4 linked regions of the Elephas maximus indicus genome follow. The main gene of each other region encodes a partner of the protein of the gene in region 2 in a complex. Links are inferred from orthologs where the notes say so. Each region holds a gene or a part of one and is shown on either strand. Other genes may lie near its edges.

Region 1 (7,188 bases), on a different chromosome or scaffold from region 2:
CAAACCCAGTGCCGTGGAGTCGATTCTGACTCGTAGTGACCCTATAGGACAGAGTAGAACTGCCCCATAGAGTTTCCAAGGAGCGCCTGGTGGATTCAAACTGCTGACCCTCTGGTTAGCAGCCGTAGCACTTAACCACTATGCTACCAGCGTTTCCTCAGGGCTCCTAGCGTGTCATAAATATACTTGTTTCACTTGATTTTTCGGATCTTTTGTGTAAGAGGGATCACGGGAAGCATCTGGCTATTCCGCCATCTTGGCCCCGTCTCCCCCTCCCTGCACTCTTAATTGTTTGATAACCTGGAAGCATATTGGTACAGCTATGTATCTGTTTATTCAGCCTTTTGAATTACTTGTTTATTCAAGATTTCTCTTTTACTTGTTTTAGATTTTTTCCCTCTCATTTAAATATTATGTATGGGAATTTGGAAGCCTTTTAAGGCCTGAAGCAGAACATCCTTGACATAAAGGAATTTTACAGTGAGACCTGTCACCTGATTATTCTAGTCCGCTGAATTTTTTAAAGTATTGTTTTCATTCTGCCCTTTTCTGGGCTTAGCATTCTGGTCAACACGAAACATATGGGATTGGTTGTGACCAGGGTTTTATATTTCTTTAGTGATTGTACTACTTTTTTTTTAAAGCATCGTTTCCATCAGTTTAAAGTGAATAACGGAAGTACCAACAGATTCAGCAAGTTTTATCCAGGGCACCCTTGGAATAACCTGAAGAATAGGTGCCCACTTCAAATGGAATTTGAGATTACTACCATAACTGGCTGTGGAGTTTACCATTACTATTTACACATCCCTTATTATTTTTTTATTTTAGGCAACCTTAGTAGTTGATATTTTCTACTCCTGGCTTTGAAATTTAAGGATCTGAATTCTAAGCATAGCTGAAGAAAACAGCAGACTTCCTAAAATCAAGTTTGGTTTCTACAATTCAGTAGAAATGTCTTAATACTAATAAAAATATTATGGATTTTTTCAAGATGTTACTATCCATTTCTTTTCTATATTTCAAAATTCTCAGCATTGGCTCACAACTGTGAGTGAAGCTACTATTCCGTATATGCAGAATATGTTAACTGTTTTTTTGCATCTGCTTCAGTATTCTCTACAACTGGCATCACTAAAATTAAACACTAAGCGTTGTTTTAAAAAGATTAAAAACAAGGTATCTTAGAACTCTGTATTGACAGTGTAATGCCAGCTTGTTTAATTCACTGTCCAGGAGATCTAGTAACAGTTTTATAAAAATGTGAGTCACTTTGCATCCTAGATGTTTCAACTAAGATTAAATCATGTATTCATAATGATATGTTGCTTAAATGTTTAAAAAAATGTCATTTAGAAGAATGCTATAAACAAAGGAAATATATTACTGGGCAAAACGGGAGAGAAAATATGCAAGGGAATTTCCAGGATTTTATCCATTTCTGAATGTACAGACCAGTCCATTTACTAGTTTAGAATAACAATTCTTTAAATTAGCTTTTATGTGAGTTGTGTTAATACAGAATGAATCCATTTTCAAGGTATTGTTCACAAGGACAAGTATCTGCTGGGAAAATAAATTTTTCCTTTGTTTTCAAAAGTGTTGGAAGAAGATTAGTGAAATTGAAATACCAATTTGAGATAACTGAATACTTTCTAAACATTATTTTAAAAGGAAACTTTTGGTTGTATTTTTATAATGGCATTTATCTCCAAGAGAAAAATTAGGAATGCCTTTCTGAACACATAGTACATCAGATAGCCTCTTCTAGTTACATACATTTCATGATGAATTATAAATTCTATTTTGTCTACTCTGTAAACAACCTAAAGGAAGAAAAATCCTTGAGATTGAAAACGAAGTCTCCATCTGGAATTGACCCGTTGTTTCTTTTTGTGCCTTTCATCAGGAAAGAACACAATCAAATAAAATCACTCCCCTCCTGCAATCTTCATTAACACTATTATGTAAATGAACAATAGTTCCTTCTATAGAGTCTAAAGAGATTTTCTTTTTTCTTCATTAAATGCACTGAAAATTGCTAATGTTCATTCTGTTCTTGTAGAGGAAAACAAAGTGCAAACCAGGCTCCCTTTGAAAAGCATATTTTTCTGATTTTTAAAAATTCTATCAAGTAGCAGAAACATAATAATGCCTAGAATTTGGTTCAGGCTGCATGAGGAAGCAGTGTCCAACAGTGACACTAGTTATTCTTTTCTTCCACTAGGAAAACATGCATCTGCCAAGTTGAGAATCTAGGGATTGGGAGCCCTGGTGGTGTAGTGGTTGAGAGCTACTGCTGCTGACAAAATGGTGGGCAGTTCTAATCTACCAGCCGCTTCTTGGAAACCCTCTGGGGCAGTTCTACTCTGTCCTATATGGTCGCTATAAGTCGGAGTCAACTCGGGGGCAATGGGTTGTTGTTTTTTAGCAGTAATGAATGCTCAGGTGTGTTATAGAGTAAAAACATCACAAAATTTAGTAAAGCAAAAAGGAAGTTTTATCAGCATATATTCAAAAAGGCAAAAGTGGGAAGCAGACAGGCATGCTGCCAGAGCTAATGTCTGCCCACGTCCAAGGAAATATTACAGAATAGACAAAAGTGGGAAAATGGACAAGCATGCTGCCACAGCCATGTCTGTCCAAGTCCAAGGAAATATTACAGAATAGGCAAGAATGGGAAAACGGACAAGCATGGTGCCACAGCCATGTCTGCCCGAGTCCAAGGAACATTACAGAATCATCAGTATATATTAACATCACAAACGGGCAAAACCATTGAAAGCTTCACCTTTTCACAGATTGGCTAGAAACTGTGATCCTACATTTTGAATTGCCTTTCTTAACAATCATTGATACAGGTTTCAGTAATAACACTCAGGAGGGTCTCGATTGGTCCAACCAATTTTCTATTCACTAAAGGCTAATACAAAAAGATAAAGAGTGGAAAGTCTTTTGTGTTCTGTTTGAATGGTTTACGTGAAAGGTTCACTAAAAGGTATTTTCCGAAATTATCCTAGCTATTGTCTTTATGCCTCAGGGCCCAGTTGATGTGCCCTTGTAAGTCCTTCTGAGCCCAGCTCCAGCTGGGTCACATTCTCTATGCTCAAGGACAGGGAATAATGATTCCAATATTATTTCCTAAATCAGGTGCTAGGTGAGACTAGCAATGGCTGTGATGGTTAAGTTCATGTGTCAACCTGACTGGGCCATGATTCATGGTCCTTTGGCAGTTACATAATGATGCAGTCATTCTCCATTTTGTAATCTGATGTGGGCATCTTCCGTTTTCAATTAATGACGATTTTTGCATAACAACTTGGTCTTTGAACCTAATCATGTTGACAAGTGAGTAGGTGTAATGCATATCTGTCAATGAATGAATGATGGGTGCTTAACAACCATTTGCTGTATGAATGAATGATGTTCTTTGTGATCCCTCATATTTAGACTATTTTGCCTGAGGTTCCTAGGACATGAATATAAAATAGAATAAGGCAGGGAATTTGTTTGCTATTATTTTCAAAACAAGTACAAAGTGCTATGGTTTTCCCATATGACATTAACATATAATTTAGAGTGACAGCTCGTGGTTGCTCTTAGTGTTCATTGAAGAAAGAGTAAAAAAAAGCCACATAGTATAAATTAAATTCTTAGATGTAACATGGTAAACACGTTGAATTAAATCAATTAGTAAAGAAACAAATTAAATCCCCACCACAGAAAAGTGAAAAAAAAAAAGGTTGGTTGTGGGTTTTCAATCCACTGGACTTTTAAAAGAAATAGTAAGCCCCCTTAACAAAACAGATTTTACAAAAATTGCAACACAGTGAGTTGGTGGCGAGAAAAATGAATTGACTTACTGGTCTGAAGAAAGATGCCCGACTTGTGAAGAGAGAGAACTTTCTGAAGAAAAATACAACGAAATTAAAGACTTTAAAATTTTCCAAAATCTTCCGGGTTAGAAGGAGAATTTATTCACAAGCCAAGATATCTTTAACATGCCTCCGAAACTTCGAGGAAAGAGAGGGTACCTCTCTAAGAGAAAAGTTCAGCGGACATAGATACCTCACCCGAAAGAAGCGAGTGTGCGCGATCTACAGGGCCTGGGCCCGATCGCTCTCTCGGCCTCAGATTGGTCAGGCCTGCCCGCGCAGGGGAAGAAAGCGGAAGCGCGCTCTTTCAAACTTGCCCTCCCTACCGCGATAGACGCAGGCCACTTCCGGCGCAGCCATGGCGGCTAACGCCACCACCAACCCGTCGCAGCTGCTGCCGCTAGGTAACCTTTCACGGGGGGCCGGGCGGGGAGCTGAAGTTCAAGATTGGGGGCAGAGGCGCTGCGACTAAGGTGGCGAAGTGTGGGGAAAAGTGTATCCGGCTTTTTCCTTCTGCTCCAAGTCTGTGGCCCCTGACCGCTCCTGCCTCAGCGTGATAGGTTCGCTTGAGGCAGCAACTTTTGACTCCCCAAACCAAACCGTCTCCGGAGAAAGGTTTATGCTTAATGAACTGAACGTGTAACCTGCCGTTGTTGTGAGCTCGTCTCTATCGTGTCTTGGGTAGCGGCCTCCCCCCACCCCCCAAACCTAGCATTTAAGATCTTCAGAGTAGGCTTTGTCTTATTTTATGTCTGGCCGGTTATTGAGGGAAGGTCAGGAATGAAATTTAAAAGAGGAATCTGGAAACTGGTTCCAGTTGTCATTCATTCAGCAAACGGTTATTGGAGCGTCTACTGTGCGCCATCCACCACAGAGATCATAACGACACTATTCAGCAGTATTCAGCAATTCAAATCACAGTCTTTTTCTTAAAATAATGCAGAAAACAGTGGAGGGAATGGATACTGAGCATTGTGCCGAATAGTGCTGAACTGGCTCAGTAGATATTCAAGCTGCTGTCAGAGTTCAGAGAATAGCCCTCGGTTGGGTGAGGCAGGTAGTGATAGGAATCTCTGATGAAGATAATTATACTCCTCTCTCCCCTAATATTTCGAGACTGGGAAGAGTGACCAAGTTAATAGACGAGGCTGTGCTTGAAAAGTTTCTATTCCTTCATTTGACACTCTTTGAGTGCCCGGTTGATTGCAGGCACGGCCGTTGTGAGTTGGAATTGACTTGTCGGCAACCGGTTTCTCTCTCTCTCTTTTTTTTTTTGCGGGGGGGGGGGTTGTCCATTGGGGATACAGTGATGAGCAGAAACAAGCACGGTCTCTACCCTCGTGGAGCTTAGAGTCTAGTAGGCAGTTCATATATTATTAAATAACCTAAAACACAGAAGTGCAACCATGGTAAATTGCTACAAGGGAGAGTTAAGTAGAGATCAAGGGAAACTTTTCTGTTAATGATCGAACAGAGATTTGTAATATAAGAGCTAAAGTTGTTGAATGAATATTTTTCCTGGTTTGTCTTTCACTATATGCAAGTTATTGAGTGCCAGTAGGCACTCAAATATTTGTTGAAGTAATGAATTGCTGAAATAATCTTTTTCCTCTCTCTTTTTTTCCTCAATATATTCTTAGAGCTTGTGGACAAGTGTATAGGATCAAGAATTCACATTGTGATGAAGAGTGATAAGGAAATTGTTGGCACGCTTCTAGGCTTTGATGACTTTGTCAGTATCCTTTTAAAAGGTGGTGGATAGGTTTTTCTTAGGTATTTAATAACGTAAGTAAGAACTATAGATAATCAGTATTTACTAATTATTATATTAGAGATCAGTTCACTCTTGGGGAACTTGTGGTAACATTTTAAGAGATGTATGTACTGAATCGACTTGACAGCAGCAGGTATGTACTGACCGAAGATAAAGTTTCTACCAATAACGAGAGTTGAAAATTTAAGTCATTGTGTTAAATGTTATCACTAAAATTGAACAAAGACAAGACAGAGTAAATTCAGACAGGTATGTTTATTTTCCTAACACCAAATTTCAGATATGGTATTGGAAGACGTCACTGAGTTGTAAGTAGTGTTAAAAATGAAAAGTTTGGAGGAGTATTGCTCTTCTTAATTTAAGGCAATTTTAATACTATCGAGTCAGTAAAATGATTTACAAGTAAATATTGCCTGTTGGCATTATCTTAAAGATGGAAATTTTATCTACTGATGCTAGTAAAATTAGATCAGAGGGTTATTAATATAATTATTATCATGTTGCTAGGAAATTAGTAGAGACAAATCTTTAAGATGAATGATACTAAAAACTGCTCAGGTCAAATAAAAGACTGGTAATAAAAACGTTTAACTGTGTAACATAAAATGTAAATGATGGCTCAGTTGTGTTAATTATATAGATCATGACCAATATCTCTGCTTTCAAAATTGAACTGATTACAAATTGCTTTAATGGCTGGGAGAAGCCCTAGTGGCACAGTGGTTAAAGCGCTTCGCTGCTAAACAAAAGGTTGGTGGTTCTAACCTACTAGCTGTTCTGGGGGAGAAAGATTTGGCAGTCTGCTTCTGTAAAGATTTACAGCCTTGGAAGCCCTATGGGGCAGCTCTACTCTGCCCTATAGGGTCACTGTGAGTCGGAATTGACTGGACGGCAGCGGGTTTGGTTTTTAATGGATGGAGATGAGCAATAATGGATGTGTTAAAGAAAAAGAGTGAAGCTGGTAAATATTTCGTATTTGGCCTCCTTGGCAAGTTTCAGCTTTTTTAATGAAGATCGAACTTAGTGGATGTTAGGCCAGTCAGTTCACTCTTACCTTTAAGGAAGAGTGTACATTACCCAGTGGATAATCTTGATCTTTGAAAGTTTTTGATATAATTGCTTCACCTCACATTTACTTACATAGAAGAATAACCTTTTTAGGGATGGAAAGATTTCAAAATGTTGGCTTTTATTACCACTGTTTAACCTGACTATTTTATCTATTTATTTAGCGAAATCACACCGGAAGGAAGAAGGATTACTAAATTAGATCAGATTTTGCTAAATGGAAATAATATAACAATGGTAAGACACATTGAAGCTAATACTGTTTTATTTAACAGTAGCCCGTTTTTGTAGGACGGTGGTTACAGATCTAACTCCTGATGCTGTTTGTTTGACTAAATGCCCATGGACCAGTATGCTTAGGATGGGAAAGGGATGTTGTGGTAGTCAGGGCGCTAAAGCTGAGCTACTAAATATGGCATTGGGCCTAGAGATTAGCTTGTTTGGCCTTTTTCATTTTGTTAGAAATCACTG
Region 2 (6,974 bases):
AAAGCAGTACTTTGCAAATGCTTGTCATATGATCTAAAAAAAGAACACCCTAAACCCATTGCCGTTGAGTGGATTCCAACTCATAGCAACCCTATAGGCCAGAGTAGAACTGCCCTATAGGGTTTCTGAGGCTGAAACCTTCGTGGAAGCTGACTGCCACATTTTTCTCCCGTGGGGCAGCTGGTGGGTTCGGACCACTAGGTAACAGCTGAGTGCTTAACCCCTGCACCACCAGGGCTCTTTGTCACGTGATAGGCACTCAATAAATTTTTGCTTAATCTGAACATTGGTCTCCTTAATCAAGTATCTGCTATGCAGGTGTGAAAAACAAGCAAGCAAACAAGAAACAGAAACCTGCCATGGTTTTCTGTTACCTCCTGGCTGAAGTAAGCATTCTTTACTACGAGACTATTTCTTCAATAAAGAGATTCCCAGCTACACGTGTAGCCACCCTGTTCCTATTGCTTACATTTGCCGCAGGCAGGTGAACTGACTCTGACAGCTCCCAGGACATGCCTGACTTCCCTGCTCCATGCTTTTAGCTCTTTTTGTGCCCCGCCCTCGGAAGCCCCCCACCCCTCACTGAATCCTAGCCAGCCTTTACACCACGGGCAAATGCTGTCTTCTCTGCGAAGTTTCTCCAAGTCTCCTCAGAGTGACTCTACCTTCCCTGTCTCCCACAGTGCCCCTTGTGGCACTGACCATATTCAGACTTTTCATTGCAGTCATCCGCTCTGGTGGCTCTCTTCTGACGTCCATTTTTTTTTTTTTTTAAAGAATATTTCAACTTTTATTTCTAGGATACATTCATCTGGAAACTTTTTGTTTCTTTACAGTTTTCCTCCTAAGAGAAATGAATACATTAAAAATATAATCCAACTACCAGCAATGTTTGTAACCAGAAAAGAATCTAAAATCTCTGGTGTGATGATATAGGATTTAAAAAAGAAAAAAAACTTCATACCAGAAATAAAGCCTGAATATTCTCTTTTCTTTAAAAATATAGTTTTTTTCTTTACTTTTCCATGTAAATTTTATAATCAAACATTTAGTTCTAAAGTCTATTTTTAAGTCAGCAATTACAACACTAGAGCATTGCTTTCTTTCCACTTTGTATCCTGTTCTGTGCTATGAATCAACTAATAATTGAAGAAGTCTTAAAAATGAGATGCCACCAGGCGATAGCAAGATTCACGATATACTGACCATAAAATAAACTCCCCAGTAGCGAACTGAAATCTATTTACAGGTTGTATTCTATTACGTTTATGAAATGAGCACGTATAGGAAGCACTTTTGCGAACTGTAAAGCTATTTTTTTAAATTTATTTTGCCTGGAAAGATTGGGATGAGGTGTCAGGGACACACGGGTGTGAAACCTAGTCCTTTTTTTCCAAAACTACTTAGATTTGTGGGGGGAGAATAATAACTGCAAAGAAGTTGGGGGTATGGATGCAGGGATTTCTCTTAAAGATTGATTGGTTTGCAGCAATGTACTATTTTTCTTAACTGAGAATAAAAAAGTGGGGAGGGCAAAGTAACAGCTCTCTATAGACCAATACTTTACACCAGACTGAGAGGTCAGGCCGTCTGTTTCCAAATGGGAATAAGAAACAAGAGAGCTTGGATGGTTTCTTCCCCACTTCCGAATAGGTCCTCTATGCAGAATTTCATTACTTGAAGTATAGTCTATCCTAAAACAGTATTCAAAAACTCAACACAAATAGTTTGAGGATGGTTTCCCTTCTTTAGGAAGATAATCAAAGAGCCAAACTTAAACATGTACATAACATACCTGAACCACAGAGTAACACCTTCCTCCTACTCCTACAACTTTTTTAGGGTATTTGTAATACATGGAAAGGTAAGTAAAGAATGGAGACCTGGTGGTGCAGTGGTTAAGAGCTCGGGTGGCAGTTCGAATCCACCAGCCGCTCCTTGGAAACCCTATGGGGTGGTTCTACTCTGTCCTATATGGTCGCTATGAATCAGAATTGACTTGAGGGCAACAGGTTTTTTTTTTTAAGTTTTTTTTAAAGAATAAAGAAGCTCAGTAACAATATCAGTGAGGGTTTTCCTCTCCTTTGCAAAAACAAAAACAACCCATTGCCATCAAGTCAATTCTGACTCATAGCCACCTTATAGGACACAGTAAAACTGCCTCATGTCTCTCCAGTCTTTTTAATGACCTTTGCTTTTTTCATGTATGGTGCTCTTGATGTCATCCCACAACTCATCTGGTCTTTGGTCATTAGAACTCAATGTGTCAAAGCTGCTCTTGAGATGGTCTCTAAATTCAGGTGGGATATACTCAAAGTTGTACTTTGGCTTTCCTGGGCTTGTTTTAATTTTCTTCAGCTCCAACTTGAACCTGCATAAGAGCAATTGATGGTTTGTTCCACAGCTGGCCCCTGGCTTTGTTCTTACTGATGATGTTGAGCTTCTCCGTTGTTTCTTTCCATAAATGTAGTCGAGAGGTCCACGTGTATAAACCAAAACAAACAAAAACCAAAAAACCAAACCTGGTGCTGATGAGTTGATTCCAACTCACAGAGACCTGTAGGACAGAGTAGAACTGCCCCATGGGGTTTCCAAGGCTGTAAATCTTGACAGAAGCACTTTGCGGGAGAAAGATGTGGCAGTCTGCTTACACACAGGTAACAGCCTTGGAAACCCTACGGGGCAGTTCTACTCTGTTCTGTAGGGTCGCTATGAATCAGAATCAACGCGATGGCAACAGGCTGGTTTTATACCTAGAAGTGGGGTTGCTGGATCATACGACAGCTCTATTCTTACTTTTTTGAGAAAGCGCCATACTGTTCTACATTTCTCAGTCTCAGCAGCAACAGATAAGGGTTTCAGTGTCCCCACATCCTTGACGACATTTGTTACCTGTTTTTTTTTTTTAATCAATGCCACTTTTGGGGGAGGAGAGGGATAAGAGGGTTTCTCATTGCAGTTTTCATTTGCATCTCTAACAGCTAAGGACAGCCCTCGTGGCCCAGTGGTTAAGAGCTCGGCTGCTAACCAAAAGGGTCGGCAGTTCAAATCCACCAGCCGCTCCTTGGAAGCCCTATGGGGCAGTTCTACTCTGCCCTATAGGGTCGCAATGAGTTGTAACTGACTCGTCAGCACCTGACAACAATGACTAATGCTTGTGAACATCTTTTCATATGTTTGTTGGCCGCGTGGATGTCCTATCTGGTGAAGATTCTGTTCACGTTCTTTGCCCATTTTGTGACTGGGTTGCCTTTTTGCTGTTGAGCTGTTGCAGTTTTCTATAGATTTTAGAGATTAGACCCTTTTTGGAAGTCATTTCCAAAGATTTTTTTTCCCAGTCTTTAGGTTGTCTATTTACTGTTTCAATAAAGTCTTTTGATGAGGGTAAGTTTTTTTTTTTTCTTAACCTTACGAGGGCCCATTTATCTATTTTCTTCCTGCATTTGTTGTATGTGTTATCCTATTCTTATACAGGTCCCACAGTTTTCTCCCTGTATTGTCTTGCAGGAATTTTAGGGTGTTAAGATTAACATTTAGGTCTTTGATCCATTCTGAGTTAAATACAGCTGCGGAACCCAAAGGAAAGTAGCCATTACACAGACTAACTCCCGCTCGCTGGGTGCTTCGGGTTCCTCAGGCGGAGAAGGGGGTGATCAGTCTCCTAGAGTGCCTACCTCACAGGGCGAGAGTCAGAGGAAGAAGCGGGTGGAGAAGGGTCTAGGTCAGCACAGCGGGCTGGACAGGTGTACGTTCCGTTACGACCTGAGGGCCGCAGGTAGGGGGTGGGGAAGTAGAGTCACTGAGTCCGCCGCGCCAGAAGGCCGACGGAAGGGACGCAGGAACCAGAGTGCAGGGGTCGCGGGATCCGGGGAACCGGAGACTCAGAGGCGCCAGCCCCGCCCACCTCTCGGAGACGTGCCCTCCCCACACTCTCTGCGCGCGACCCGGAAGCGGAAGTGAGCTCCCGTCTTCCTCTCCGGGCGTCCCTCTTGCGTCTTCCGGCCTGTGGCAACGGGAGCGGCGGTTCGCGGCGTGTGGTGCGGCGGCGCGGAGCCCTGAGGGCCCGGCTGAGCTGCAGTCATGGCGGATGTGACCGCCCGCAGCCTGCAGTACGAGTACAAAGCGGTGCGTGAGGGCTAGGGGAAGACTCCGGGCGAGGGAGCCGGGTGGGGAGCGAGAGGCCGAGGAAGGCCGGCGCGCGAGCCGCGAAGGTGGAGGGAGGTTGAATCGGGCGCAAGTGGGGCTGCACGGCCTGTGGGCGCCCGCTGGGCCTGGCGGGCGGGACGGCCGGGGCCTCCTCGGAGGGCTTCCCCGGGCCCCTGAGCGCCGGCCGGGCCCTGCGGACACTCGCCGCCCAGGCCGGCCGTCGCGCGCTGTGTGGGCGGCGGGGGGTCAGGTCGCTCGACGGGCCGAGCCCAGAGCCGAACTCGGCCCTTGATCCGCCGCAGTCTCGCGCGGTGCCGTCGCTTCTGAAGGAAACTGTTTATTTACTCCGTCTGGGGACTGTTAGCACTTGGTGGCCTCGGCCCGTCCTGAGGTATTACCAGCTCTTGTCCCCGTAATTAGCAGCTGGCCCTGTTCACGTCAGAGCTCCGACAATGTGATCTTTCCAGAACTCGAATCTCGTCCTCCAAGCTGACCGCTCGCTCATTGACCGCACCCGCCGCGATGAACCCACAGGAGAGGTGCTGTCTCTGGTTGGGAAGCTGGAGGGCACCCGGATGGGGGATAAAGCTCAGCGGACCAAGCCGCAGATGCAGGAGGAGAGAAGAGCCAAGTGAGTACCAAGGGAAAGCTTTTTTCTTCACATTTAGAGCCCGTGTTTTCTTTAGCATTTGAGTTTCAAGTATATTTTGCAGAAATGCTTGGTGCAAGGTGACACCTCGGTGGTTATTAAATTATCTTAGTGAAGGTAAACACAGAACGCAAGAGCTAAAGGGTCTTTGGCCTAGGTGAGTACATTTGCAGTGGAAAATAACTCTTTGTTACTTTTTTTTAGTAATCTCTTTCTGGTCCACATACAGATCTTTTCTTATGGGGTATTTTCAAGTTTCCTTGTCTCAGTAACTTTTCTTCTTCCATTATTAACTTTTCACCTCAATTTCTTTCTTCTGCTTTTGCCTACTCCCAGCTATTTTGTTGTTACAACTAACATTTAGTGGTCATATTACTAAAGGTGCTTTGTTTCCTTTTAGTTTTCTTTACTTTTTGAGGTATTTCAAAACCTAGACAATGATTGAACTTTATCTCACCGTTTTTTTCCGAACATCTCTGTGTTTCCTCCATTCTCTGTGATAAAGTCTCAAAAATTCCTAGGCCCACTTTTGATTAAAGTAGTTATATTTGAAATGAGTGAATAGATTATTAGTTTTCCATTTTGCAGCATATGACCTCTTTTCCAATTTTATTGTACCTTGTTGGGAGTTTGTAAGAATGGCATGGTGGCAGTGTCACCCTTCTTTTTGTCTCACTTTATGATTAGGGAGAGCTTCACCATCAGCATCAGCCAGCTGATCGCTATGAGATGGAGGTCAGACAGCCCTTGATCCTCCAGTCTTTTTACCAGTTCTGACACCGGCCAGCCCTCTCAGGAGCTGTCTGCTGCTCTGCTGAGTTCGATAACTCATTGCAGTGGCTACCGTGTTGTCTGGTGCTGGTCTCCTGGTTCTGCTGCTGCCGTTTCCCTGCTGCAGCACTGTCTCCGACATTGGAGCTCTCTTTCTCTGTCTCCTGGGTCTAGGAGGTTCTCAGCGCAGGGACGCCATGTCCAAAGGATGCACTCTGCTCCCATCTCTTCTTCTTGGTGGTAGTGAAGCCCCGCTCTGTTCTGGGATGAGCTCATTTTAAGCATGGTGGGATGGCAAAACTGATAGTCCCCTCATTAGGGGGCCACGTACCATATGTGCGTGGTTCCACCCCCACGGGTGCCACACACCTTATTTGCATTTTTAGCAAGCTGTCCAGTCCCCTTGGTGGACCACAAGCACTTTCTTTCTGTAGTCACATTCAGTCATTTGGTGGAAGTTATGAGACCATGCTTAGAAAGGCCACATAAAATCAGTCCTCACACCGCAGGAGTCAAGAGCAGTGGATTCCTTTGGAGCTTCCGTTTCTCTGGCTAGGAAAAGGAAATGTCTATGAGAGGTGAAAAACTAGCCAGGATCAGGTTACATAAGATCTTCATACGAAGTGATTCTTTTAAATGAATGAGGAGGCTATCTCATTGTATCGATTAGCGCAGCTGGTGCACCATAGGGCTCCTTTTCTGTCGATGAGTCCCATCAAGAAATGTCTCGTGCTAGGGACTTAAGGTCAAGTGGGAATCATCTGCTGAGGTACAGGTTTCTCTTTTCAGATATAGGTGTGTATCACAAAACTGAAAAAGAGGGGTGTGGGTTTGATTTAGCCTTCGCTTGGCGAGGGAAGCTTCTCTCTGTTGAACATCATATTGTGTGTCCATTAGGCGAAGAAAGCGTGACGAGGACCGGCATGACATCAACAAGATGAAGGGCTATACCCTGTTGTCGGAGGGCATTGACGAGATGGTGGGCATCATCTATAAGCCCAAAACTAAGGAGACCCGGGAGACCTATGAGGTGCTGCTCAGCTTCATCCAGGCTGCGCTCGGGGACCAGGTGAGGCAGCCAGAGCGTGAGGACCGGCATTTGGAAGGGAGAAGGTCACAGCTGGGATCACTGAAGAGCCTTGTCTCTGGATCTGCCTGTATGGGCCACACCAGTTGGCAGAAGGACTAATAACGGCGGCCCACGTTAAGTGACCGTTTTTTTCATGTGGGATGGCGCTTTCCGTGCCTGTTCTCTTTTAGGTCTCACATTCGCTCTGTGAGATAAGGTGCAGTTAATACTCATTTTCCATTTTACGGAAGAGTGACGTGAGGCACAGAATAGTAATTTCCCCAAGTCACAGAGGTTGTATTTGGCAGAGCCAGGATGAACCCAGGTAGTCTGTCTCCA
Region 3 (7,080 bases), about 80 Mb from region 2:
TCGGACTGTCCACCAACAGAGGAATGGATAAACAAGATGTGGTACACACATACAATGGAATATTACTCAGCCATAAAAAGAAATAAAGTCCTAATACACATCACAATAATGGATAAACCTTGAAAACATTAGGCTGAGCAAAATAAGTCAGCAACAAAAGGACAAATACTGTATGATCTCACTAACATGAAATAAGCATATATATAGAAACCAAAATTAGTGGTTACCAAAGGTGGAAGGGAGAGGAAAAGGGGGAATTTTTGCTTAAGGGCACTAAGCTTATCTTTATGGTGGTAAAATAATTCGGAAAAAGATAGTGATGAGGGTTGTATAACAAAAAGAGTCAACGTCACTGAATTATGCCTGTATAAACTGTTGAACTGGCCAATGTTTTTTGTACGTATTTTCACCACAATAAAAAAAAAATCAGTCTCCCCTTCTAGGGTATGCTCTCTAAAGTACAGATACTATATTCCATTAATCTACATATCTCCAGTACTTAGGCAAGTTTATACAATTTTAAAGCTTAGTTAAATCAATGAATGTTGCTGCTATTGTTAGTTGCTGTCAAGTCGTTTCTGACTCATGGGTGCAAATAAAAAGTTCTCTATAACTGAACTCGAACATTGTTCAGAAGCTGGATTCCCACAAACTGAACTGTTGCTAATTCTAGTTATTGTTCTATCACTGATGCTGAGGAAGTCCTGCCTTGCTCTGTGACTGGTTCCCATTTCTAGGCTAATGGGTCCCTGGATAAACAGAGAAGTCAGTGTAGAGGCATATGTCAAAGAAGACTATTTTAAACAGCTCTTTGGAAAATGGCATCTCTTCTCTGCCCTCAAATTTCCCTCATACAAATCTGTCCTGCACTGGGAGTACAGACTGGGAGGTTTACATCATTTCCAAGTTCCGACAGCCCCAAAAGATATATACCACAGGCAAATCTCCATCATCTTCCTCTTCCTCCTTCTCTGGTTTAGTGGTGGAGATAGCTGTCCAACTCACATCATCATCCACAATCCGCATTCTAAATGTGAAAAACAAAAGATAAAAGAAGAAAAATCATTCTTGGATAACAGCCTAAGAGCACTTATCCATCTGGTTTTAGGAATAAAGTTCAAAATCCTACACATTCCTGCGTGATCCGGCCTTTGCCTAGGTGGTCAACGTCATCTTATACTGCTGCCCTCTCAGTTCACTACCTCACGAGCACCTGAAACGAGGCAAATTTCTTACCACATCAACTTTCACATACCAGTTCCCTCTGCCTGACCTGCTCTTCTCCTCATTCTTTACCAGAAACCTCTTACTCATTCTTCAGGTCCCAACATAAATTTAACTCCCTTAGGCATACCCTCCTTGATTGGTCCTCTCCCCTAAGTCTAAGAACCCCCGTTACACACACTCAGAATACTTTCACTGCATTTACCACAAAGGAATCAATTTATTGTGTAAACAGTTGTTTAAGGCCTGTATCTCCAATAAACTGTAAGCTCCATCAGAACAGGCACTACGTCTTTCTTGTTCATAGAGGCCTTGTCGACACCCTGCAGTAACTGGCATGTGACGTATTCAATAAGTGTGTGTTACAGGGATGAACTATAGATGACAGGAAATAACATTAACTGCCATCACATGAATAGCTATTATTTGAAAAGTCAGGGATATTTTATAAATCATCTCTAATCACAACAACATAGTACCTGGGAGGTACTAACAGTTAATGTGCTCAGCTGTTAACAAAAGGCTGGAAGTCTGAGTGGCCAGAGTCTACCCAGATGTGCCTTGGAAGAAAGGCCTGGTGATCTGCTTCTGAAAAATCAGCCACTGAAAACCTTAGAGAGCACAGTCCTACTATGACACATGGGCTTGCAATGAATAGGAATCAACTCCGTGGCAGCTGATTTTTTTAAATCACAAAAACCATTTAATACAAGCAGTATTATTTACTATTATTCTCATTTTCAAGATGGGAAAACTGAGATTCAGAGAGATTAAATATCTTGCCCAAGGCCACACAGCCTATAAAGTGGCAGAGGTAAAATTCAAACTCTGAACAATGTTGCCCCAAAGCTAAGCTATTTCACTACATCGCACTGCCTCCAAAGAATCCACCCGAGAGAAAGGGACCCAAAAACACAGAAAGCAAAAAAAAACAGAATCAAACCAGGAAAGGCAATAGATTAGTTCCTTGGAACCCTTTGACACCGCTGGGCTACAAAAGTTTCCTTGTTTGTAAAACTGTGATAATAACAATAACGACTCCGTGGTAGTGTTGTGAAGCTTAAGTTCATGTATGTGTAAAGTACCTAGAACGGTGCCTGACATACGGCAAGAAGTGTGTACGTGCCAGTCGCTGTTGGGGGCATTAGCAGCAGTAGTGACCAGGGCTCTCCGACTCAGGATCACGAAGCCTTTGGGACTTTTGAGAACCCCACGGGCAAGTTCAGGACCCTAAATCCGAGCACCAAGGCACTGAATTAGCTCCACCCCCATTCTCAGAGCACGATATTCATTAACTCCGGAGGGGTCGGAAGGCTACCAAAGCGGGAAAAGAGTCATGGAAGTCACAGCCCAGTTTAAACAACCGAAGACGCTGCTCAGCAGCGCGAAGGGTAAAGGCGGGCAGCCACAGCGGGCCCAGGCCCCGGCGCCCCGAGTCGCGCGCCCTGAGCTTAGGCAGCGGGCGGACGAGCGGGCGGAGCGGAGGACCCAGGCCGGCGAGGAGAGCAGGCAGAGCCCCGGCCGGCGGCGCAGAGACCAAGGCTGAGGGCCGCCACAGGCCCGCCCCCGCGGTACCCACTCACCCCTTGCCGCCGGCCCCTCCGGGCTTCGCCCGCTTTTTGCGACGCTTGCGACCGGACTCGGGGCCCCCGTCGACGCCGGCATCTGCCCCAGACAAGTACCGCTTCAGATACTCGGCCTTGGAGAGCGGCGGAGCTGCCGCCATGGCAGCGGCGCGGGCGGGGAGACGGCTCGCCCCTGGGGTCAAACTTAGGGAACGCGGAACGGACGGCAGTGACGGGAGGGGCGTGGCCAGACCCGGAACTGGCGGAGCGTCGGAGCACCGGCGGGGAGACCTCCCGGGTGACGCGTTCGTGGACCAACCGGAAGTGCAGGCACGTCTAGGGCCCGTTGTGCGTACTTGTGAGGACGTTACCTTATTGTGTGTCCATCCGTTCATTCACCAAACTTTGCAGTAAGCGCCGTTCTAGCCTTGAGGCTACAATCACGACCCAACGAGATATCTGCCTCCAGCAGCTTCAAAGCACCATATACGTAGTGGTTAGCATAGGCTGTGGAGTTACAGGGTATTTAAGTTTGAATCCTGGCTCCGTAACTTCCTAGTTGTAAAACCTGGGCAAGTTATTTAACAAAATGGGGACAATAATAGTACTTAATCAGGATGATTGCGAGATCTGAGATGACGTTACTGTGTAACGTGCTTAGAACAGTGTCTGGCGCAGTTACCGATAGTTATTTTTATTAGCAGTGTAAGTATCTTTAGGTGGGGAGAAGTTTAACAAGCTTCCAGGTACATTCAAGAGGGGAGATCAAGAACTTCAGACCCAGTATGTTGTTAGTCAGGCCGCTTCCAACTCATGGTGACCCCACGTGTAGCAGAGTAGAACTGCTCCATAGGGTTTTCAAAGCTGAAAGCAGCCAGATTGCCAGGGCTGTCTTCCGAGATGCCTCTGGGTGGGTCCAAACTGCCAATCTTTCCACAAGCAGCCTAGCATTGAACTGTTTGTGCCACCCAGGAACTCCTAGACCCAGTATAATTCCTGTGAAAAATACGGAGGTTTCTAAAATCTGTGTAACTTCTGCACATCCAGTTTCATTGGTTGCACCTATCTACCTCTTGAAGGAAATTGTGTAAATCTTTCCATTGAAAAAAGACCTGGACCTGCTTTCAGCACAGCCAAAGAGTAAAGCCTGTGAGATCAAATTCTAATACTCAAGTCTTGGGGGGAGAAGACAAGAGTACTTGAATTATCTCATTTAAACCCTCACAACTATTCTCGGTTTATCATCCTTATTTTACAGATGAGGAGATGGAAGCTTGGAGAAGATAAGGGAAGTTGCCCGTTATCACACAGCAAAAAGGTGGCAAAGACAGGATTCAAGCTCAAGCCACAGGACTCTTGGGAGCAGAGGTTAGGGAAGTGCAGTAAAAAACGTGATCCAAACTTTTTGAAATAAAATATTAGACTGGATATTTTCTTTTTATAAGGTAAATTTTGTCGGTTTTAGTCAAGTAGGCATTGTCATACTTTATAACTAAATACACATACACTGCGATACATGCTCAAAAACTCGTTTATGTTGTTGTTAGTTGCCGAGTCAACTCTGACTCGTGGTGACCTTAGGTATAACAGACAAAACATTGCCCAGTCCTGCGCCATCTTCGTGAACATTGACTTGAGTCCATTGTTTCAACTATCGTCAATCCATCTCATTAAGGTTTCCCTTATTTACCAAACATGATGTCCTTTTGTAGTGATTGATCTTTCCTGATGATATGTCCAAAGCAAGCAAGCCAAAGTTGTGCCATCCTTGCATCTAAAGAGCATTCTCGTATTTCTTGAAGACCACTGCTCTGAAGAATGAACTTCTAAGCACTGGGCTATAATCTGAGTGGCTGCCACACCAGCCCAGAAAAGAAAGCAGGCTGGGTCCCTGAGGGGTTATGAGGAGACATTGAGAAACTAGGGCATCACTAGCTAGAGGTTTCTACAGGTCCCCCATATGCAATGCTGCCTTGGCTTAAAGTCCAATTTGTTAGTCTCAAACTGCCTCCACCTTGATGACAACAGGCATTTGGAAAGGCTCACATTTCCAATCTAGTCGATATTACCAGTATGCCCTTCTGGGCCCTGCCAACCCATCTCCTGACCATTTCTGGCTTCTTCAGTTCTGTCCCTACCCATTCTACCCAATCCTCAACCTTGGCTTGACAAGACCCAACCTCAATGGATCCCAACCCTGTCTGCTTCACAGGGCAATTAGGCAGGACCAAGAAAATGCATGTCTGGTGGCATGGTCTGAGCTTTGCCCTCTCTCTACAGTTGCATTGAATAAGGCAATAATAATTATTATTATTATTATTATTTTTATGGACATGAGCTCAAAATATTGAGAGCTCAAGTTGCACAGTCAGATTGGCCTGGATTTGAAGCCTGCCTCTTAACTATACTTCATTTTGGAAGTTATCTAAGCTCTCTGAAGCTGTTTCCTCACCTGTAAAGTGGGGATAATTTTGTTTATTTATAGCTATTTCCCAAAAAGGACTTAAAGCAAAAATGGAGACACTTCAGAATTTTTTAAGGATTGATGAGAGAAAATACAAATAAAAGGCACTTCACAATTATTAACTCAGCTAATTCCCAAAAGCCCCTACAAAAAAAGGTACCATTATTTTTATCCCCATTTTACAGACCAGGAAACCAAAGCAGCAGAGGTGCCCATACTAGTGGACTTTCTAAACTCTAAAGTAAATATGCAGACTAAGTAGCACTGCCTCGTTCTTTTATGGTTAAAAATGCTGCCATTTTTCTGTAAAGGGTGGGGAGAAGTGTGCAGATTTTTTAAAAAATAAGAAGCAGCCAATAAATTCATAGAGTCAGGAACTGTGGTTGCCAGGTACTGGGGGAGGGAGGAATCAGGAGTTACCGTTTAATGAGTATAACATTTCCATTTGGGGTGATGAAAAGGTTCTGGAAACAGTGAATGTTCTTAATGCCACTGAATTGTACACTTAAAAATGGTTAAAATGGTATATTTTGTTGTGTATTTTACTATAACAACAAAGAATGAAGTCAAGCAGTCTTAAACACCACTGCCCTAAATATAAGCAGACATGGTATTCCCTGCAATGTGCAATAGGCAGCTGACATACCACGGGTGTATGAAGACAGAAACATACTGACAGTGTCGTAACAACAGAAGTCTTCCTCACCCCACCAGTGAAGCTTTCAGTTAGCGAGGTCATTGCCCTTCATACTAATTCCCAGCACTCACCACATCTCCACCACTTACTCCATTACGACGACACAGGTACACATTCAGGACCTACCTGTATGTTCACAGGTCTGATGACCAAATATAAAATATAGCTGTATTTAACATGTATGAAATATGGTAAAGTAGATAGAATGCCCTCAAAATAAACTCTTCTTTTTTTTAATATAATCACAAAACTTCCCATGTAAGTTTTACTCTCATGGTTGTGAAATTAAATCTCCACGTTCTTAGGCCGGCAGCTTGACTCTCTCACCTCCCCTGGCCTTAGAGCAGAGCCCTTGTTACCTCCATGTGCCCAAAGGGCTGGATCCAGGATGAAGGATTCACAAACATCAGCCAAGGATTATGACAGATCATCTGTATGCCATATGCTAGGGAATGTGGGGCAAGACAAAGTTAAGCAGATGTAGGCTTCCATCTCGGGCAGGCTGTATGAAACGTGACTGAAAGAGTTCAGGGACACTTTAAAAGTGTGAAAATGAAAGATGCCAGGCCTTTGTCCTATCAAAGAGCAAGGAGTACCTTAGCTGGGTTATCCCAGTCTGGAACCTGGTCATGTCTTGCAGGATATCATTTCCCAGTAACTGGGGGACTGCCTCATGCCAACCAAACTCAGAAGACTGACAAACCAGAATGCCATTTGTTTTCCCTTCACAGTGGAAGATGAAGCTGACACTGGGGCTCGTCTTCACAGAGCACATCCACCCGCGCCACAGGGCATTCACCAGATGATAGACCCAAACGGTGTCTGGTAAAGTCAGGTTCCCTGGTCAGCTGAAAACACATCTACAGGCAGTCTCTTAAAGTAGAATACTTGCACGTGAGAAATCTCATCAAGGTATTATAGTTTATAGTTGCAAGAGCGAGTCATTCGCTAACCTTAGTCTCCAAATTCATAAAAAAAAAAAAAAAAAAAAAAACCTTGTATTCAGGCATGGGGGTCAGTCCTACATGGAAGTAATAAATGCCAAAGAATCCAATACAGGCAGGTTTCTGAAAACAGAACCTTTAGAAACAAATACATTTCAGGAAGAGGGAGGAGGCAGAGATTCCAGA
Region 4 (7,950 bases), on a different chromosome or scaffold from region 2:
CTATTCATTTATTCGGTATGTCTTACTTTTAAACATGCAGTCTAGCCTACCTTCCCATCTCTTCCTCTCTCCTTCCAGCTAACGTCTACTACTTATTCAAAACGCAGGCACCTCTCACATCCTGTAGGAAATCTTCCATGAACCAACATGTCTCCTTTCCCAGCCCGGTTTACGTAAAGTGCTTCACAGAAGCCTGTGGCTTACAATTACTTAATATTGTGATTGTTTACTTGCCTCTCCTTCCATGGGAACTCCATGGTGGTATACCTAGTAGAGTACCTGACATATAGGAAGCGTTTAGTTAAACAGACTTTCCATACCTTTATTTTTAGTAGTTCTTATTATATAAGCCTTTCTCTCTTGTAACTTTTTTCTAGTTTCTTCAACTGTCTCAAATTCTGGAGCGTAGCAGACGTGAAGCAATCCACCAAAGAAACTCTGTTCATCCATTTTTCTCTTTGCTGTCCTAAACAAATACATGATAGCATGGTTTATTAATCAAGATTTAAGCTTAACTATTATACAATAGGTTGACCTAAAGAGCAAAGTCCACCTTTTGTTATGTGCCCACACCTCCTCTGGTTTGGAAATTAAGATGTGCTGCTTGTGGGTGGTACTAACCCTACTGATCCAGGACTGTGGTACATACTTTTGGTGACTTTTGCCACCTCTTCCAATAGTGTTAACAGATTTTAAGCTATCCACATATACCCAGACTTCCTTTAGCCAATTTAGAATCTAGTTGGCTGGCCTGAGGTACACAATCTGTAGCCATGAAATAGGGCTTTTCTCTGTGTTAAGCTAAATAGCCCTTGAGAATCAGTTCATACCCAAACTAGCCTCTTTAGCACATTGTGTTCCTATAATCAGATTCATACATTAAAAAGTAGTTTAAAATATTGTAATAATAGGTACTGTAAATATAGTACTACTGTGTCCAGGGATAACGATAAGAAACACTTACTGTTTACCACATGCCAGACAGTGTCCCCAGTGCTTCAAGTGAATTTACACCTCAAAACAACCCAATGGTGAATTAGAGGCACAGGGAGATTATATAGCTTGGCAAGGTCACACAGCTGGTTCAGTGGAGCTAATATGCAAATCCAGATGTCTAATCTAAAGTTCACTGCACTAAGTGCTGTAGAAGATGCAAAAGCTCTAAAAAACACCATGGGGTGCTGGCAAGATGGCTGGGAAATGAGATTACATAAAAGAGCTGCCTTAAAAGAATCATAATCCTATAGAATCAAGTGCTTTTGTGACATAGTATGAGTGCTATTGGTAGTACCGAAAAAATATCAACTGTTTTAGCCAGGGAAGAATGATTCTTGGAGCAGATTAGTGACAAGAGTAAGGGTCAACATGAAAAACAGATGAGGCATTTCATACTTCAGCCTTATTGGAGCAGAGAATTACACAGCAAGCTGGATAAGATGGGGTCAATCCACACACGGCCATAACAATAAGAACGTCGATAGTTAATGTTACTGCATTCTGAATAGGAGGTGCTATGCTAAGCGCTTTATATGAATTGTCTGATTTCATCCTGACCCAACCTCAAGAGATTTACAAATGGATTTTACAGAAGAGGAAAACAGGCTTAGAGAGGTTAAATAACTGGTCCAAAGTCATAAAAGCAGTGGGACTGGAAAATCTACTCCAAACCCAATTTCTCGCCTACTATACTACACTGTAAAAAATGGTTAAGCATGGAAATGACATGATGGGAGCAGTGTTTTGGTAAGGCTAACCTTTAAGAAACTGTCCTTGGGTGGTACAAACAGTTAAACACTCAACTACCAGCCAAAAGGTTGGTGGTTCAAACCCACCCAGAGATGCTTCAGAGCACAGGCCTGGCCATCTGCTTCTGAAAGGTCACAGCCTTGAACACCCTGTGGAACAGTTCTAGTCTTCACACATGGGGTCTCCATGAGTCAGAGTTGACTTAGTGGCAATTAACAAACACCACCACAACAATAACCTTTAAGAAGACGGAAGGATGATATGAGAAATACAGGATTAGTTCAGGTAAGAATGAGGGAAATCTGAGGCCAGAGTGATAGCAATGGGAATGGAGGAAATAAGACATGGCTTAACTTGCATATTACCTTGCACTTTGTAAATTCAGAAATTTAATAAGATAAACTTCTGTGAAGTCTTCTGCTGGGTATTCATCTAGAGCATTATACTGTTCAATTGTACCATATAAGGCAAATCGCTCAACTAATTCCTTCATGGCTCCCACTGCTGGAACTCCTTGTATTAATAAATACCGAGATTCTAAATTGATTGTATATACCTAAAAGAAATGCAGATTCATTAAACATACTTCACAAATAAGCCTAGAACAAACGTCCTATTTTTTTTTAAACAGCTTTGAAAACATACTGTTCAGCACAGTTCGCAGAAAACATACAGAATCAGAAACTTTGCCACGTTCTGCATAAATAATTCACCCTACGTTTGAGGGCCTCGGACTAAAGCACACATCAGTCTACCTTCAGTCGACAATTTTTCCAGACGTTAGATCGGTAGAAGCGGTTCATGTTTCTGGGAAGATTCGCTCGACGAATATTTAAGTGCTTTCCACGTGCCGTGCACTGTTGAAGCACGGAAAATACAAGGAATAAAACAAAATCCTGCTTATGCAGAGCTAACGTCTTAGTGGTTGACTAAAAGAGAGCTTTGGTGCCTGCTTCGCGGTTACTCACACTCAACTCCAATGAGGGACGGACGTGACAACAAACAGCCTTGTCAAGCCTTTATTTACACTTTTAGGAAGGCGGAGCGAGCACACATACGTAAAGCTACCAAGAAAGCGAAAAAAACAAAATTACTTTACCTTGACGGCGCGGGGCCGTCGTCCCTCCCGATACTTAGCCCGCGTGTCGCATACAGCCTTCTGGATATGATGTTCGAATAAGCTCCCAAGCTCCCCACTACTCGACGCCATGTTGTTAGCTTCGGCACTCGCAGAGAAGACAACATCTGCCTTGCTGACCTCCCTTTCATCCAATAAGAAAGCGGGATGCGTCAAGACGTGACCGGATTGGCTGGAGCATCGACAGTGTCGGCCATCGTTTCCTGCGAGAGAAGATACGGTGAACAAGATGCCGCCCCCTAGTGGCGCGGCGGAGAGCCAAGGAGGGTGAGTGAAGGCTAGCCTGTCTCTACCCCCTCAGGCGTGCGGTGGGGTGCGCTGCCGGAGAGGGGGAAGGGCCAATCGATTTTCTCCGGGACCGAGGCCCTCGCCTGTCCCGTCCCAGGTCGGCCCCGGCTCTAGGGAGGGCGGCCCGGAAGCGGTGCTCGCCGGCGATGTGGGGCAGTGATCGACTGGCGTGTGCGGGGGGAGGCGGGGTAGCCGTGACAGTGGCCTTCACCAACGCTCGCGACTGCTTCCTCCACCTGCCTCGGCGTCTAGTGGCCCAGCTGCACCTGCTGCAGGTAACGCTCCGGACCCGGGCGGGGCCCGGACCAGGGACGCCGCGACAGTCGCCTGGAGTCGGAGGTGGCCGAGGCCTTGTAGGGATACGGCAGCTGTTCAGGGCTCTCCGCTGCGGGGGAGCCTACAGGGGCACCACTGGCTTCCCGGCGCCGCTGGCCAGTGCAGAGGTCAGATTGAAGGCCCCTCGAGGGCAGGGCGGTCTGAGCAGTCCATGCTACCCACCCCCATGCCTCGTGCAGCCCCGGGCCATTAAGTTACCTTGCTTATCCCAAGTCTTCTCACTCGGTGAAACTGGGCTTTTAAAAATCCTCTACCTGTTTTTAAAAAGTCTACCTCTGCGTTCAGAAATACTTCTCACTCCGCGTTGGGAAAGCTTTTGAAAAGTCGCTTATTTTATCGTTTTAAAAATGTTTTCCCTGCCAGAGATTTCCAGGTACCTGCACTGCTGCTGTCTGGGCCTCGAGAGGGAGGAGACAGACTTTGTGGAGTCCCTGTACGTTAATGGAGCTCTGGTGGCACAGTGTTTAAGAGCTACGGCTGCTAACCAAAAGGTCAGCAGTTCTGATCCACCAACTGCTCCTTGGAAACCCTATGGGGAAGTTCTGCTCTCATCTGTAGGGTCAGTATGAGTCGGAATGGACTCGATGGAAATGGTTTTGGTTTTTATTGTGTGTTAACGGGCTGAACACCTCCCAGGAGCGGAAAGCAGAAAGGTTAATAAAATGATGGGTATTCCCTGCGCCGCCATGTGCCAGAACGTGCAGTGGAATTAGGTATACTTGGAAAGATTACTTGGATGTTGTAGTGTTTCGCTAGTCCAACCACGGGCAGAAATACAGCATCTGTGTTTTCATAATTAAACATACAGGCATGTGGTCTCACAAAGTATGAGTGCGCTTATGGGGGCAAAAGGATAAAATTTTATTTTAAATCCTGAAGAACCCTGAATGCATGGTATCCACACTGGATAATTCATGCAAGAAATATTTTAAGAATTTGCAATAATGTCAAGTATCTCACCTTTTCACTTTGTTGTTGTTGTTAGGTACCATCTAGCGGGATCCAACTCATAGCAACCCTATGTACAACAAAACTAAACACTACTGGGCCCTGCACCATCCTTACAATCCTTGCTATGTTTGAGCCCATTGTTGCAGCGACTGTGTCAGTGCATCTCATCCAAGGTCTTCCTCTTTTTTGCTGACCCTCTTAACTTACCAAGCATGATATCCTTCTACAGACACTGGCCTCTCCTGATAATATGTCCAAAGTATGGGAGATGAAGTCTTGCCATCTTTGCTGCCAAGGACATTCTGGCTGTACTTCCAAGACAGACATGTTCATTCTTCTGGCAGTCCATAGTATATTGTATTCTTCGCCAGCACCACAATTCAAATGTGTCAGTTCTTCTTCAATCTTTGTTATTCATTGTCCAGCTTTTGCATGCAAATGAGGCCAGTGAACACGCCATGGCTTGGGTCAGGCACACCTTAGTCTTCAAGGTGGCAGCTTTGCTTTTTAACACTTTACAGAGGTCTTTTGCAGCAGATTTGCCCAATGCAGTATGTCATTTGATTTCTTGACTGCTGCTTCCATGGGCATTGATTGTGGATCCAAGTAAAATGAAATCCTTGACAACTTCAATTTTTTCTCCATTTATCAGAATGTTATTTATTGGTCCAGCTGTGGGGATTTTTGTTTTCTTTATGCTGAGGTGTAATTCATAGTGGAGGCTGTAGTCTTTGATCTTCATCAGTGTCATGGATTGAATTGTGTCCCCCCAAAATATCTGTTAACTTTGCTAGTCCATGATTCCCAGTATCGTGTGATTGTCTAGCATTTTGTCATCTGATATGATTTTCCTATGTATCATAAATCCTTCCTCAATGATGTTGATGAGGTGGATTATCAGCAGTTATGTTAACGAGGCAGGACTCATTCTATGAGGTTAGGTTGTGTCTTAAGTCAATCTTTTTTGGGATATAAAAGAGAGAAGTGAGCAGAGAGACATGGGGAGGTCATACCACCAAGAAAGCAACACCGGGAGCAGAGTGCATCCTTTGGACCCAGGGTTCCTGGGTGGAGAAGTTCCTCGACCAAGTGAACCTTAATGACAAGGACCTTCCTCCAGACCCAGCAGAGAGAAAAGGCCTTCCCCTGGAGCTGGCACCCTGAATTTGGATTTCTAGTCTACTAGACTGTGAGAGGATAAACTGTTTGTTAAAACCATCCACTTGTGGTATTTCTGTTAGAGCAATACTAGATAACTAGGACAGTCAGTAAGTGCTTCAAGTCCTCTTGGCTTTTAGCAAGCAAGGTTGTGTTATCTGCATATTGTAGGCTGTTAATGAGTCTTCCTCCAATCCTGATGCTGTGTTCTTCTTTATACAGTCCAGCTTCTTGGCTTATTTGCTCAGTAGTATGGTGAAAGGATACAACCCTGATGTACACCTTTCCTGATTTTAAACCACTCAGTATCCCCTTGTTCTGTTCAAATGACTCCCTCTTTGTCTATGTACAAGTATCTGCATAAGTGCAATGGAGTGTTTTGGAATTCCCATTCTTCACAGAGTTACCCATAATTTGTTATAATCCACACAGTTGAACGTCTTTGCATAGCTAGTAAAACACAGGTAAACATCTTTCTGGTATTCTCTGCTTTCAACTCAAATCCGTCTGACATCAACAAAGATGTCACTTGTTCCATGTCCTCTTCTGAATCTGGCTGGAATTTCTGGCAGTTCCTTGTTGATGTACTGCTGCAACCACTTTTGAATGATCTTGAGCAAAATTTTACTTGCGTGTGATAATGATATTGTTTGATAATTTCCACATTCTGTTGGTTCACCTTTCATTGGAATAAACATAAATATGGATCTCTTCCGGTTGGTTGGACAGGTATCTGTATTCCAGATTTCTTGGCATAGACAAGTGAGCACTTGCAGTGCTGCATATGTTCGTGGAAACATCTCAGTTGGTATTCTGTCAATTCCTGGAGCCTCGTTTTTTGCCAGCGCCTTCAGTGCAGCTTAGACTTCTTTCAGTACTACCAGTCCTTGATCATATGCTACCTCCCAAAATGGTTGAATGTCAGCCAGTTCCTTTTGGTACAGTGACTCTGTGTATTCTTTACATCTTCTTTTGATGCTTCCTGCATCATTTAGTATTTTGCCATAGAGTCCTTCAGTATTACAACTTGAGCCTTGAATTTTTTCTTCAGTTCTTTTAGCTTAAGAAATGCTGAGTGTATTCTTCCCTTTTGGCTTTCTAACTCCAGATCTTTGCACATTTCATTATAATACTTTGTCTTCTCTGGTTGCCCTTAGAAAGAATTCTGTTCGGCTCTTTTACTTCATCAGTTTTTCCATTCACTTCAGCTACTCTGTGTTCAAGAGCAAGTTTCAGAGTCTCTTCTGACATGTTTTTGTCTTTTCTTTCTTTCCTGTCCTTTTTTTTTTTAATTCGTTGTTGTTGAGACTATACACAGTAAAATATACAGTGATTCAGCAGTTTCTACACGTACAATTCAGTGACTTTGATTACATTCTTCCCATTGTGCAACCATTCTCACCCTCCTTTACTAAGTTGTTCTTCCCCCATTAACATAAATTCACTGCCCCCTAAGGTTCCTCTCTCATCTTGCTAGTTGCTTTTGTCAATTTGATCCCATATAGGTAGTTCTTAAAACAGCATAATGTTCAAGGCAGACATGTTTTAGTAGTTAAGCTAAACTATCATTTGGTTTTAAGAAGACTTCAGGGAATATTTTTGGTTTAAGGTTTAAAGATTGTCTCAGGGCAATAGTTTCAGGGGTTCTTCCAACCTTCATGGCTCCAGGAAGTCCGGAGTCCATGAGAGGTGTCATGGATTGAATTGTGTCCCCCCAAAATATCTGTCAAATTGGCTAGGTTATGATTACCAGTATTGTATTATTGTCTATCAATTTGTCATCTGATGTGATTTCCCTATGTGTTGTAAATTCCATCACTATGATATAATGAGGTGGATGAGTGGCAGTTACGTTGATGAGATCTACAAGGTTAGGTAGTGTCTTAAGCCAATCTGTTTTGAGATATAAAAGAGATAATCAAGCAGAGAGACATGGGGACCTCATACCACCAAAAAAGAAGCACCGGGAGCAGAGCACATCCTTTGGACCTGAAGTTCCTGCACTGAGATGCTCCCAGACCAAGGGAAGATTGATGACAAAGACCTTTCTCCAGAGCCAACAGAGAAAGCCTTCCCCTGGAGCTGGCGCCCTGCATTCGGACTTCTAGCCTACTGGACTGTGAGAGAATAAACTTCTGTTTGTTAAAGCCGTCCACTTGTAGTATTTCTGTTATAGCAGCACTAGATGACCAAGACAAGAGGGAATGACATAATCTGAGATAGCAGTTTAAATTCTTGGCTCCTACTAGACTTCAAATTCAACCTGTGGTTCTGGCTAAAATGTCAGATTAAATGAAGAATGAGTGAAGCATGTTAGACTTAGTAACTGGAAA

Evidence for each region.
Region 1: SNRNP200 (region 2) and LSM5 share a complex: the UniProt entries of both Homo sapiens proteins name them as parts of the U4/U6-U5 tri-snRNP complex. The link is inferred for Elephas maximus indicus from reciprocal best matches to the Homo sapiens genes SNRNP200 and LSM5.
Region 3: SNRNP200 (region 2) and BUD13 share a complex: the UniProt entries of both Homo sapiens proteins name them as parts of the minor spliceosome. The link is inferred for Elephas maximus indicus from reciprocal best matches to the Homo sapiens genes SNRNP200 and BUD13.
Region 4: SNRNP200 (region 2) and RBM48 share a complex: the UniProt entries of both Homo sapiens proteins name them as parts of the minor spliceosome. The link is inferred for Elephas maximus indicus from reciprocal best matches to the Homo sapiens genes SNRNP200 and RBM48.

The regions. Positions count from the first base shown.
Region 1 is NC_064826.1:94,010,423-94,017,610, reverse strand, and holds the start of LSM5 (U6 snRNA-associated Sm-like protein LSm5), read left to right. Parts: upstream 1-4,176; 5' UTR 4,177-4,233; coding exon 4,234-4,279; intron 4,280-5,515; coding exon 5,516-5,611; intron 5,612-5,929; coding exon 5,930-5,957; intron 5,958-6,881; coding exon 6,882-6,954; intron 6,955-7,188. UniProt on the Homo sapiens protein: Plays a role in pre-mRNA splicing as component of the U4/U6-U5 tri-snRNP complex that is involved in spliceosome assembly, and as component of the precatalytic spliceosome (spliceosome B complex).
Region 2 is NC_064835.1:88,744,325-88,751,298, forward strand, and holds the start of SNRNP200 (U5 small nuclear ribonucleoprotein 200 kDa helicase), read left to right. Parts: upstream 1-3,956; 5' UTR 3,957-4,080; coding exon 4,081-4,125; intron 4,126-4,613; coding exon 4,614-4,777; intron 4,778-6,463; coding exon 6,464-6,635; intron 6,636-6,974. UniProt on the Homo sapiens protein: Catalyzes the ATP-dependent unwinding of U4/U6 RNA duplices, an essential step in the assembly of a catalytically active spliceosome. Plays a role in pre-mRNA splicing as a core component of precatalytic, catalytic and postcatalytic spliceosomal complexes.
Region 3 is NC_064835.1:9,018,949-9,026,028, forward strand, and holds the start of BUD13 (BUD13 homolog), read right to left. Parts: upstream 3,023-7,080; 5' UTR 2,951-3,022; coding exon 2,808-2,950; intron 1,028-2,807; coding exon 934-1,027; intron 1-933. UniProt on the Homo sapiens protein: Involved in pre-mRNA splicing as component of the activated spliceosome. As a component of the minor spliceosome, involved in the splicing of U12-type introns in pre-mRNAs.
Region 4 is NC_064826.1:62,573,377-62,581,326, reverse strand, and holds the start of RBM48 (RNA-binding protein 48), read right to left. Parts: upstream 3,002-7,950; 5' UTR 2,957-3,001; coding exon 2,846-2,956; intron 2,303-2,845; coding exon 2,112-2,302; intron 467-2,111; coding exon 321-466; intron 1-320. Other genes in the region: peroxisomal ATPase PEX1, read left to right, coding at 3,319-3,447. UniProt on the Homo sapiens protein: As a component of the minor spliceosome, involved in the splicing of U12-type introns in pre-mRNAs.